Cricetulus griseus: one gene and its partners. The protein of the gene in region 1 purifies or fractionates together with the protein of each later gene. This does not show direct contact. Links are inferred from orthologs where the notes say so. Each region holds a gene or a part of one and is shown on either strand. Other genes may lie near its edges.

The links. The genes of interacting proteins can lie anywhere in the genome.
Region 2: the proteins of Ppp2r1a (region 1) and Cttnbp2 purify together in Homo sapiens (affinity purification with mass spectrometry; 3 studies listed by BioGRID and IntAct, with this or other methods). This does not show direct contact. The link is inferred for Cricetulus griseus from reciprocal best matches to the Homo sapiens genes PPP2R1A and CTTNBP2.
Region 3: the proteins of Ppp2r1a (region 1) and Ier5 purify together in Homo sapiens (affinity purification with mass spectrometry; 3 studies listed by BioGRID and IntAct, with this or other methods). This does not show direct contact. The link is inferred for Cricetulus griseus from reciprocal best matches to the Homo sapiens genes PPP2R1A and IER5.

Annotation. Positions count from the first base shown.
Region 1 is NC_048602.1:19,078,487-19,082,131, reverse strand, and holds part of Ppp2r1a (serine/threonine-protein phosphatase 2A 65 kDa regulatory subunit A alpha isoform), read left to right. Parts: intron 1-117; coding exon 118-232; intron 233-337; coding exon 338-408; intron 409-830; coding exon 831-965; intron 966-2,584; coding exon 2,585-2,758; intron 2,759-3,083; coding exon 3,084-3,144; intron 3,145-3,645. UniProt on the Homo sapiens protein: The PR65 subunit of protein phosphatase 2A serves as a scaffolding molecule to coordinate the assembly of the catalytic subunit and a variable regulatory B subunit.
Region 2 is NW_023276806.1:208,097,472-208,101,216, forward strand, and holds the start of Cttnbp2 (cortactin-binding protein 2), read left to right. Parts: upstream 1-1,198; 5' UTR 1,199-1,307; coding exon 1,308-1,388; intron 1,389-3,745. UniProt on the Homo sapiens protein: Regulates the dendritic spine distribution of CTTN/cortactin in hippocampal neurons, and thus controls dendritic spinogenesis and dendritic spine maintenance.
Region 3 is NC_048598.1:36,655,355-36,659,099, reverse strand, and holds the start of Ier5 (immediate early response gene 5 protein), read right to left. Parts: upstream 2,260-3,745; 5' UTR 1,567-2,259; coding exon 646-1,566; 3' UTR 1-645. UniProt on the Homo sapiens protein: Plays a role as a transcription factor. Mediates positive transcriptional regulation of several chaperone genes during the heat shock response in a HSF1-dependent manner. Mediates negative transcriptional regulation of CDC25B expression.

The DNA.
Region 1 (3,645 bases):
GGATCAGGTCCCCAGTGCTGTGGCTTAGCATTGTCCCGGTGCCTTCACCTCAGTTTTTGCGTAAGCTCTGGGTGGCTGCCAGTCTCTCAGCGCTGCCCCTCTTCTCTTCGTGTACAGCTCCAGAAAGCAGTAGGGCCTGAGATAACCAAGACAGATCTGGTGCCCGCCTTCCAGAACCTGATGAAGGACTGTGAGGCCGAGGTGAGGGCCGCTGCCTCCCACAAGGTCAAAGGTTGGTGCTGGCAACCAGAACGCAGCTAGATGGGTGGATGTCGGAGAGGCAGCAATGGGATTGGGCCGTGGCGTCTCACCAGCACCTTCCCATCTCTGTCCACAGAGTTCTGTGAAAATCTCTCAGCTGACTGCCGAGAGAATGTGATCATGACCCAGATCTTGCCCTGCATCAAGGTAATGGCGTACTTGGGTGTAGGACTTGAGAATGCCAGAGAGGTGAAGATTTGGTTTTCAGTACAGTCCCATCCAAGCTAGATTTGCATCCTTCTAGGACACACAGGAACTGGGTTTTAACCATCATGGGTTTGGCTGTAGGCAAAATCGTGAGGGTTACACAACTGACCCTAAGGACCTAAGGGGTGTGTTTGCCCCTCAGAGGCCACCGAGTTCCCTCATCCACAGAGCTTGGGGAATGGGGCAGTGGCTGCTGGAAGCAGGGCTCACATAGCAAACAAGAGAGGACTTGTGAATAAGTGCAGTGCATGCCTGAGCTGCCCTGCCTATGTTACACGTGGGAGAGTGTGGTCTCCTCAGGCCAGCAGGGCTGAGGTCTGTGCAGCCACTCAGACACTGAGCTGCATCCTTCTCCTCCCCAGGAACTCGTGTCAGATGCCAACCAGCATGTCAAGTCAGCACTGGCTTCAGTCATCATGGGCCTCTCTCCCATTCTGGGCAAAGACAACACCATTGAGCACCTCTTGCCACTCTTCTTGGCTCAGCTAAAGGATGAGGTAATAGTACCAGGAAGGTTTTCAGCTCTTTGCAGAGATGACAGACTGCAGTTCGCCGGGTTGACCAAGAGTATTTTAGAGTCTTGGCACCACACAGCACACACCACACTCCCTTCTCAACGACAGGTGTGAGTGTCTGCTTGTTCACTCTTGTTAGACATGCTTCATGCGCCCTTCACATTGCACTCATCCTTCCCCTGAGTGCTGAGGGTATAAAAAAGACCAGGACAGTGGTGGTGATATTTACAGCCCCACAGAGTGTTCCCGTGGAGAGGAACAGACGTAGTTCCATTCAGATACTGTCGGTACTGGGAGAGGTGCGCCATGGTTTTTAGGCTCATGTGCCACAAAGCCCCTAATACAGTGGCATAGAAAGTTACCATTACTCCTCTCGCATCGTCCCAGCTGGTCCTGTGGTGAGGTATTAGCTTTGCTGGCCTGGCTTTCTTGGTCTGAGGTCACAGCTATAATTTTATCTCTTGGCTCATTGAAGGGCTTCTCTCTAGCTTGTGTCTTCTACATGTTCCATTGACATAGCCAGTCAGGTCACCATACTTGTCTGTGCAGGTGGCCTAGACCACAGAAAAGAAAAGATGTCACTGTGGTGACAGCTCAGGGAATTGGATTTGAATATGTAGACAAACGCAGTGGCTGAAAGAGATCTTTTTAGGAGAGTGTAGCCAGTATTAGGGAGAGGTGAGAGAAAGGGCCAGTGTTCTTGGGGTGCCAGCCCAGAGTGATGCTACCCATTCTAATTCTTTTTTTTCTGTTTGTTTGGTTTTTTGTTTGTTTGTTTTTAAGATTTATTTTTATTGATTATGTATAGTGTTCTGCCTGCATGTATCCCTGCAGGCCAGAAGAGGGCACCAGATCTCATTCCAGATGATTGTGAGCCACCATGTGGTGGCTGGGAATTGAACTCAGGACCTCTGGAAGAACACCCAGTGCTCTTAACCCCTGAGCTATCTCTCCAGCCCCCTTCTAATTCTTTAATGGAGCACTTTGATAGAGTACCCAGTAGCTGATTCTATAATGGCAACCCAGTTCCCAGGCTGGGACATAGATTTCCTCACAGGCTGTTCCTACTCCAGAAGTCTTTAGACAAAGTTAGTGAAGTCACTTGAAAGGTCTTAACATTCGCAGCTCTGGGTCCAGTTTCTATTACCACCACCATAGAAAAAAAACAAAACAAAACAAACTCTTCTGGGTTTGGGGTTTTCTGGAAAAGTTGCTTTCAGTGGCCTCTGTGAGGTCTATGCGTTTGTTCCTATAGATGTCTCTGCTCTGTGGCATGAGTGGGAATGGCTATGGACTGTAAATCAGGGTTCGCACTGCTTGGAGTCTGGCAGTTCTGAGACTCATCACATGTCCTCCCTGGTCTGGCATTAGCAGTTGAAGTGATGGGAATGATAGAGAATGGGTCCAGACACTAGCAACTCGGGCACATCGAGGGGCTCCCATTTCACTTTGCAGAGCCTCGGCTGCTGGGAGACTAGATGGCTGTTTGATTATTGCCCGTCACAGGCGATACCCAGAGGGGAGCTCTTGCCTGCTCCTGACACGCTCCTAGGGCCGCCGTATGTTTTGTGTTCTCTTAACCCGCCTGTCCTCTTCCCAAGTGCCCTGAGGTACGGCTGAACATCATCTCCAACCTGGACTGCGTGAACGAGGTGATTGGCATCCGGCAGCTCTCTCAGTCCCTGCTCCCCGCCATTGTGGAGCTGGCTGAGGATGCCAAGTGGCGGGTGCGGCTGGCCATCATTGAATACATGCCTCTGCTGGCTGGACAGCTGGTGAGTGAGGAGCCAGGTTTTGTTGGCCCTGAGGTGATAGATTTGGGGGTCTGATCTGGTCTGGTCATGGCCCCAGGACCAGGGCTGTGGTGCAGTTACTAGGGGCTTGAAGCCTTGGTGTAGGCATTGAGAGCTGCCTGTGGGGAGGACTGGACTCGGGAACTGGGCCCTCAGCAGATGCTGCATGGAGTTTAGGCAGAGGAAGAAGGCTGGTAGCTTTGACGGGTTCAGCATTGCCTGATTCTCTGGGACCCCTTCCTCCTCCCCTCCCTCAATTCCTTCTCCCTACCCCTCAGTCCCTTACCAATCTTTTTTTTTCCTGCAGGGTGTGGAATTTTTTGATGAGAAACTCAACTCTTTGTGTATGGCCTGGCTGGTTGATCATGGTAAGTACGCCAGCAACACAGTAGGAGGGGTTTGTAGCCATGGCAATGAACAGAGCTGCCATGTTTCCTTGCTATCAGTGCTCACTGGGACCCACTCTGTTGCTGTTAAAAAAAAAAAAAAATCTTGAGAGAAGTGAAGATGTGGGGTGGGTTATCTGGACTGGAGTTGGAGAGCCACCAAGCAGAAAGGCATGGATTTGAACCCTTCTCTTTGATGAAGCATAAGCAAGTCCCTTCCCATCTTGCAGCGTTACACTCATGTGTCTCTCCAGCCCTTGAGAGACTTGTTCCTAATAAGTGGATAAAAAAGAGTCACTGTTTTTTCTGTCAGGCAGTTTTAAGTAGTATGCATTAAATAACTTGAGATACAATTTGCACAAGCAGAGCCTCAGTTAGCATGCCTGAATAATGAGGCAAATGGAGTCTTTCTGTTTGGGTGGCCAGAAGGTGCTGTATGAGAAGAGACAGGGTACAGCGTAGCAAGCGCCGTTTCCTGTTTTG
Region 2 (3,745 bases), on another chromosome or scaffold:
TTCCTTGACCTCTCTTTTGAGAGCAAACTTTCTAGATTTTGCTGACCAATTCTTTCCAGTGTCTTTGTAGAAAAGGTTTTCTCTGATGTGTCATACTTGGATCCAGTTTGGAAAGCTGAGCAGTTAAGGTGTCAGAACTTCTCATTAGGAGCAGGTTGTTTTGTTTTGTTTTAAAGGCTTTGATCTGTGCACTTGGACTGAACATTCCAGTCATTCATCTTCCAGAATTTCAAGTGTGGGATTGGGTTGTCGGTTGATTTGACTGATTTGATGACATCACAGAGACAGTTTGAATGCCTCCATTTGATTTTGTGCTTTCAACACATCTTTAGGGACCTGGAACTTTAGGGACCTCCTTACCATATGGTCTCAGCAAGGTGATAAATTTTCAGATTCTGGGAGTTGGCAGGAAAAAGTAAGAATGGAATTAGAGGCAGGATGGGGGAAGTTAAGTGTCTTGGCCTAACTCATTCGTGCTAACTCCCCAACCATGCATTTCCAATCGACCATTTTGTCAAAGGTTTGTGTGTGTATATTTGGGTTTTCACCTGCACGGAGAAGTTGCTGTTCTCACAAAAGTATTAAGACATCACTGATACTTGGTGGTTTTTCTGGATGGACCCCTGGGGGGGGGGTCTCCACCTTCCTTAAAAAGAGAATCGAACAGAAAGGCACCTAGCTGAGGGGCTTAAAAACAGCAAGGCACAGACTTTCAGCGGAAAGTTGATCGTTTTAGAGGGTGAGCATCGAAGATGCGATTAAAAAAAAAAAGCTGGGTGTATATAAATCAAGAGGATAGAAGTGTTCAGAAGGCAAGAGTTGGGAAATATTAAGAGAGGCACCTCGATGGAGCTAGTCGAAGTGAGGGATGATGGTTCCTCGACCGTAGATCTTAGATTTAGCATCCAAGGGCCTGACATCCAGTTCGGTTTGTGTCCTGCTAAGTCAAGAGTTTGTCAGCCCATCGCCTCCGGAAAGGAAGCTTATTTTCTTTTGCATCCTGGGGTGTTTGTCTCCCCAACACCAGCTCAAAGCCACGCGGCTCGCTTGCTTGCTGGTTCTTGGTCCCTTGGGAGCGGCTGCTGCAGGCTAGCGGGTGGGCGGGGCGCCGGCGTCTGCAGCGCGCAGAGGGTTAAGCGGCAGGGGCGGTGCGCGCGGGAGGCGGGAGGGGGCGGCCGGGCTCCGGGGCTGAGAGCGCCGCGGCCGCAGCCAGCAGCGGGTTAAGCGCCGCCCGCCCGCCCGCCCGCGCCGAGAGCAGAGCCCCGCCGCTGCTCCGAGCTCGCATTCGGATCCGCTAGAGCAGGAAGATGGCGACGGACGGCGCGAGCTGCGAGCCCGACTTGTCCCGCGCCCCGGACGACCCGGCGGGGGCCACGGCGGAGGCCGCGGTAACCGAGTTCCCTGGGCTCCGGGAACGGTGTAGATGCGGGCTGGGGGTGGTGCCCCGGTCCCCGCCGGACACTCCCCGAGGGATGCCCGGTGCTTCCCTGGAGTGCCCCCTTACTTCCTCGGGGTTCCATTTCCTTCTCCGAGGTACACCTTCCCAGGGGTGTCCCCTTCCTTCTGGGGTGCCCCCTCCCTGGTGTGCCTCTTCTCCTGGATGCCCCTTCCTTCCCCCGGGGTGTGCCCTTCGGATGTCCCTTCCCTGGGGTGCCTGCCCCCAAGGCCAGAAGCGGATTCGAGTAGCGCGACGCTACCCCCGCCGCCCCCGAGGTGCTAGGAGCCCGTCGGTCCTTCTGGAAGCTCCCCGCATGCGTCCTTGGGGACCCCTTTGCCCACTGCTGGGGTGCTCACGGAGGATCTCAACCCCCATTGTTCAGCTCCGCCAGGCACCGAGCAAATGCTAGTCTCGGGGTGCCTGACACCTCTTGGGAGACCTGGGGAAGCAGCGAGGGAAAGGCGACCCGTCCGTCGCCAGGCAGGTGTGGAGATGCTCTTTGTGTGCGGGGGTTCGTGTGTCTCGGGGGGGGGGGGAGGACGCCCCGTGGGAGAGGCCCCGCGCCCAGCTGTGGGTGCTGCTGCAACTGAGCGCCAGCACTTTGGGTCCTAGCTGCCTGCTGCTCCATCAGTCATCGGTAGGGACCTTCTTCCCCAGGCGGAGTGGCACTGAGCTGGGGTTTCCGAACCTGGTGTCAACACATTGTTCCTTTCCCTAGCGTCCTCTCTTGCTTAGGCGCCTACCTGCTCCCTTTTTTGGTACTCTTGAGTTGTCTGCACGCACAGACGCTCCCCGGTGGTTCCCACTCCCTCTGTGCCCCGCTTGGGGGGTCTCAACCCACAAAGCCAGCTTGGAAAACGTTCGCAGGTCTGGGAAACAGCTTTTGCCAGAGCGGCAAAGATGTGCAAAGAAAGGCAGGTCTAGGAGCGCCTCCCAGTCTTGGCCAAATCCCGCAGCTCTCTCGGAAGATTCTGAGTGGGACCGAGGGAGCTGAGCAGCCTGGCATGGACGCCCAGGTCCGTATCTCCCATCTCCAGAGCCCAGACCCGGGCTGGGCAGGACCAGGTGTAAACAACCTGGGCAGTTTAATTCCCTCCCCTCTGGAGGGAGGGCTTGCTAGGAGGAGAAGGCAGGGGTGTGGAGGAAGGTACCTGGAGGCAAGAGCTGCGAGAGGAGAATAGGAGGGGTCAGGTACTAATTCCCATTGGTGAAAATAGAAGACTCTGGGCTAAAGTTTTGGGAAAAATAGCGGGTTTTTTTTTCTAATAAGAACTTTAAAGATATTTCAAATGAAACCTTTCCACTTGAGAAATACTTTCATTCTGAGAGTCGGGGACAACGAAGAAAATGGCTATCAAAGCAAAAGTCCCTCTGGGAAGCTGAAACTATTGAGTGTCCTGTTCTCCATGAGGGGGAAAGTGGAGGTGTGGGGGTCGCGCTCCTTCTCCCCCCAGGAGGGTGGATAGTTTGTTTAATCTACTTGGAATACACAGCTTTGTGCCCACAAGATATTTCGGCCACCAGGCAAACCAACACAAAGCATGCAGTTTATGATATGTAAGACTGTAAACAAAATTGCATCGTCAGGAATACTGCTGTGCCAACAAGGTCAGTGTTGCTGTCGGCTGTTTAAAATTGTCAGGAGCCCGATTCAAAGGCTGCTAAGTTGGCAGCTTGATTGTTCTGCTTTGGTTGAGGGAGAATAGCCAGGCAAAATCTCACCGACTGGGACCTCCTCCGTTATTCCCAAGGGATCCCTTAGGCTTCAAATCTGCAGTAACAGTGCTAAGGTATTTGAAGTAACTGTCTACTTTTAAGAAAGAATGTGGTGGCTTTTTATTCAGTAAAACTGGACTTCATTGTTTACAAGTAGTTGGACTTGAAATATGGGGACTCTTATGTTAGCTACTTGAGTAAACTGGCATTTTTTTATTATTTTGAGGATCACATGTAGCTAAAGCTTATCATGAAATCATGGTTCTCCTATCTCTCTGCCTCCTGAAGGCTGGGGTTAGTAGTCCTTACCACCACCCTGCCTGGCTTTGACTTATTATTATTATTATTATTATTATTATTATTATTATTATTATTATTATTAAAGAAAAGCTAATTAGAGAAATCCTGTTTGTCATACTTGTTCTTCTTCTAATGGTTAAAAATTAAAACTATATTTTGCCAACAAAGGACTTAATATATATTTTTAATTATAGTGAGGAATTCTCTTTTTGCCTCAGAGAGATTTATTTCATTTCAAATTGGTTTACGTCTTGTGGAATTTTATATATACATTTGGCAGAATCAAGCTAG
Region 3 (3,745 bases), on another chromosome or scaffold:
CCAGAGAAAGGTAGGGAGGGAGAAAAATAATACAAGTCTCTACTCCAGGCGAACTCCCTCTCGTCTGAGGAAATCCTGTGAGGAAACGCCACTCGGCGCGCCGATGAGGTTCTAGCTTTCATGAGAGTGTGTAAAGTCCCTCTCTCCCCCAAGATCAAATGGGGAACTCCCCTGCCTCGAGCCATTCAGCAGCTTCCTTTTCTGTGCTGCTGGCAGAGGAAAGTCCCTGTCTGCGCCCCCAAAAGTCTCAAGCCCCGGGGAAGGGGTGGTGCATTCCAGAACCACAGAACAGTCTCAACAACACAAGACAAACTTACACACGGACACACACACACACACACACACACACACACACACACACACACACACACACACACACACACACAGTCACACACAGACACAAAATTTAACGATCGATCGTCCTCTTCCGATAAGCCTCCAACTCTAGGTCTCTCTGCGTGAGACTCGAGAGCCACGGCCCAGCCGGGCTGCCCCGTTCGGGGCGATGTGCTGCCCGGCAGCAACCAGTCTCCCCCTACGCGCCCAGCGCCTACGGTCTCGGCTCGTCCTCGGGGCCGGGAAAGGCCACGGCCGAACTTCGGGGACGCCCGCTGCTCAAGCTCCAGCCGCTCGGGCCCCGGAGACTCAGAAGGCCACGATGGCTGTGCTCCAGGGGCTCATGTCTCTCAGCACCGGCTTGTCGCAGCAGATCTGCCCAGGCTCGGCGGCTTCCGGGCCGCTCTCCTCCGCCTCCTCTTCCTCCCGGCCGCCCGCAGGGCTTTTCCGTAGGAGTCCCGAGAAGCTAGAGCCGAAGATGCTGATGAGGTTTGCCACGTTCCCGGTCTCCATCTCCTCGTCCGTGTCCGTGTCCTCCTCGCCGGTGCTCGGCTGCTCTTCCGAGTTCCGGCGCGGCTTCTTGAGAGGGGTCGAGCCGGGCGCCGGGCAGCCAGCGCGGCCACCACCCACTCCCGCTGCGCCGCGCTTCCTGGGACACGGGGCGGGTGGCGCGGGGGAACCGTCCTCGGCTGGCTGCTCCTCCCGGGCCGGGGGACAGCCGCACGGGCGGCGCACTGCCCGGGGCCCCTCGGGGCACGTGTCCGGGCCGCCTCCAGAAGCCATCGCGCGCGGACGCTCCACGCGGCCCCAAGCAGCTGCCGCCGAGTCTGCCTCTCGGCCCGGGAGAGCGTCCCCAGCTCCGGCCACGGCGGCCACCGGCTCCGAGCTTCCCGTTCCCGGCGTGTGGCACACCGAAGGGCGCTGAGGCTGCGGCTCGGGCTCCGGCCAGGCGGCGCGGGCGGACGGCGGAGGCGGCTCTCCCCAACCGGAGGGTGGCCCGGCCACCGGCTCTCCGGGCTGCTGAGGCGGCGGCACCGTCGGGATACCCGTAGGGCCGGCCAGGTAGAGGCCAGGGCACGGGTCACTCAGGTAGACCTGGCGGGCGCTGCGCAGCACCAACGACACCAAGAGGTTCTTGTGTAGCTTGATGCCGCCGCGCTGGACCCGCGAGTTGTAGATCTTGCCGAGGGAGATGCTGACGATGCGGTGAGCCTCCAGCTTGAACTCCATCCTGCCTCCGCTTCTCGAGAGTGGCGCCTAGACGATGGGGTGAACGCCGAAGCTGCGAGAGGAGAGGGAGGCGGAAACAGGATCGCCTCTGGGGTGCACCCTCGGCGGCTGAAAGCTCGGTGGAGAAAAGACCCGGTGATGCGTAGCCCCCTCCGCCTCTTCGCCGCAGACAACAAACCTGATCTGCGTTGGTCGCTAAACTGAGCGGAACGAGCCCCACACAGCGCCTTATATAGACTCCTCGAACGCCAATCACAAAGCGCCGCCAACCGTTCTGGGCGGGCCGATGTGCCTCGTGCGCCGTCCCCAGCCAATCGGAGGCGGAGGAGGGGCGCCAGGGCCGGTTCAAACGTTAGTCCCGCGGAGCAAGCTCTTAAAGAGGGCGATCGCAGGCGGCCCAGGGACCAAGTGCGGTGGGATTTGGGTCCGAGGTAACGGTGAAGGTGAGTGAGGCCCACAGAACTGTCTGTCGTCACAAATTCCGATTTGTGAGCTGTCTTAGCCAACCTCACTAGAAGCGGACTATTGGAACTTTCGTTGGTTTGGAGTGCTGGAATCTACTACATAGTAAAGTTCGGCTCCTTTCGTGCGCAGTTTCCAGCTGCTCACACCATTTCTTGGCAGGAATAGAAGCTATGGCAATACAAAGCAGGGACAATCCTGAACGACAAACAGTACGAGGTATTTGAGATATTATTTTGGAGTCAGATCCTTTCCCATTAGCGTCACACTTTCAGCATCTGACCACAAGCAAAAGGGGAGGTTCTAGAAATTCCCAAGCTTCTGGCCTATCAAGGAACAGTGTTCAAGTACAAAGTCATTGTTTCTCACCTAAAGCTGGCATCTTTCACTTAGTTCCCTAAATTCTCGGTTGTCACACAGATTAAATGGAATAAATAGGAGGTGTTACCTACTTCTCCGAAGTGTTTGCTTGTTTGGTTGTTTTTATTTGTTGTTTGTTTATTAACACAGTAACTGAACTAATCCACACTTGGGGAAATCTAGTAAGTTCTAAAAATACAAATAGAGAAGTTCTGGGTTCCCATAATAATGTTGTAAATTTGTTTTATGTCAAGCTAATAGTATGGGGAAAGGGTTCCATCCACTGAGTCTTAAAAGTACCTAGCAAAGGGGCCACAAGATTGTATTAGTGCCTTCTGACTTTGTAAATTACCTCATAGTCTTTTAGTTTCAATTCTAAAAAGGAGAAATCATGTATACACCCACTTTATTATACAAAAGATGCATGACAACTCTTAGACACCATAAAATTAAGTGCCACTTTCATGGAGCCTGTGTGCAAAGTTGACCTAATCCCACAGTAGGGTTTCTCCAAACAATGTGTTTATGTAGAAAAAAATACTAGTGAGAGTAAGGCTTGACCACAGGAGAGCAGCTTAGTGAGGTTCTGATAAGAGCCTGCTGCATTACAAATGACCTGTTCAGGGGAACACAGAGAATGTACCAGGTAATAGTGCATCTCATGGGTACATTTACTGATGCCACATAATAAGTGGTACTTAAGACAACTGCACAGAGATGTCCCATGCTCCTGTCTAACACAGTTTGCTTAAATTTATTGCCAACTGACAATCCATCTTGAGTGGACTCAGTGACTTGGCTAGTGACCATGGACAGGTGCAGGACCTGGGTCTTTCAAAGCTTTCTTTCTTTCTTTCTTTCTTTTCTTTCTTTCTTTCTTTCTTTTCTTTCTTCCTTTCTTATGAGTGCTCTGTCTTCTCCTATGTCTGCAGGACAGAAGAGGGCACCAGATCCCATTCTAGATGATTCTGAGTCACCATGTGGTTGGTGGGAATTGAACTCAGGACCTCTAGAAGAGCAACCAGTGCTCTTAATGACTGAACCATCTCTCCAGCCCCAAAGCTTTATTTATTTTAATCAGAATTTCTTTTAAATATTTATTTATTTTTGGTTTTTCGAAACAGGATTTCTCTGTGTAGTTCTGGCTGTCCTGGAACTAGCTGGCTTTCCCCATGCTGGGACTAAAGGTGTGCAATACCACACCCACCGAACATCATTCTGATTTTATTTTTAAAAAGTCAAAGGACATCAATCCCGTTCCTACCAAATTTTCTGGTAAACCTGAAAATAGGGTTTCATGGGGACTGAGATATTCCTAACAGGGCTTTGAAGCATCTGGGAAGGGCCACATCCTCAG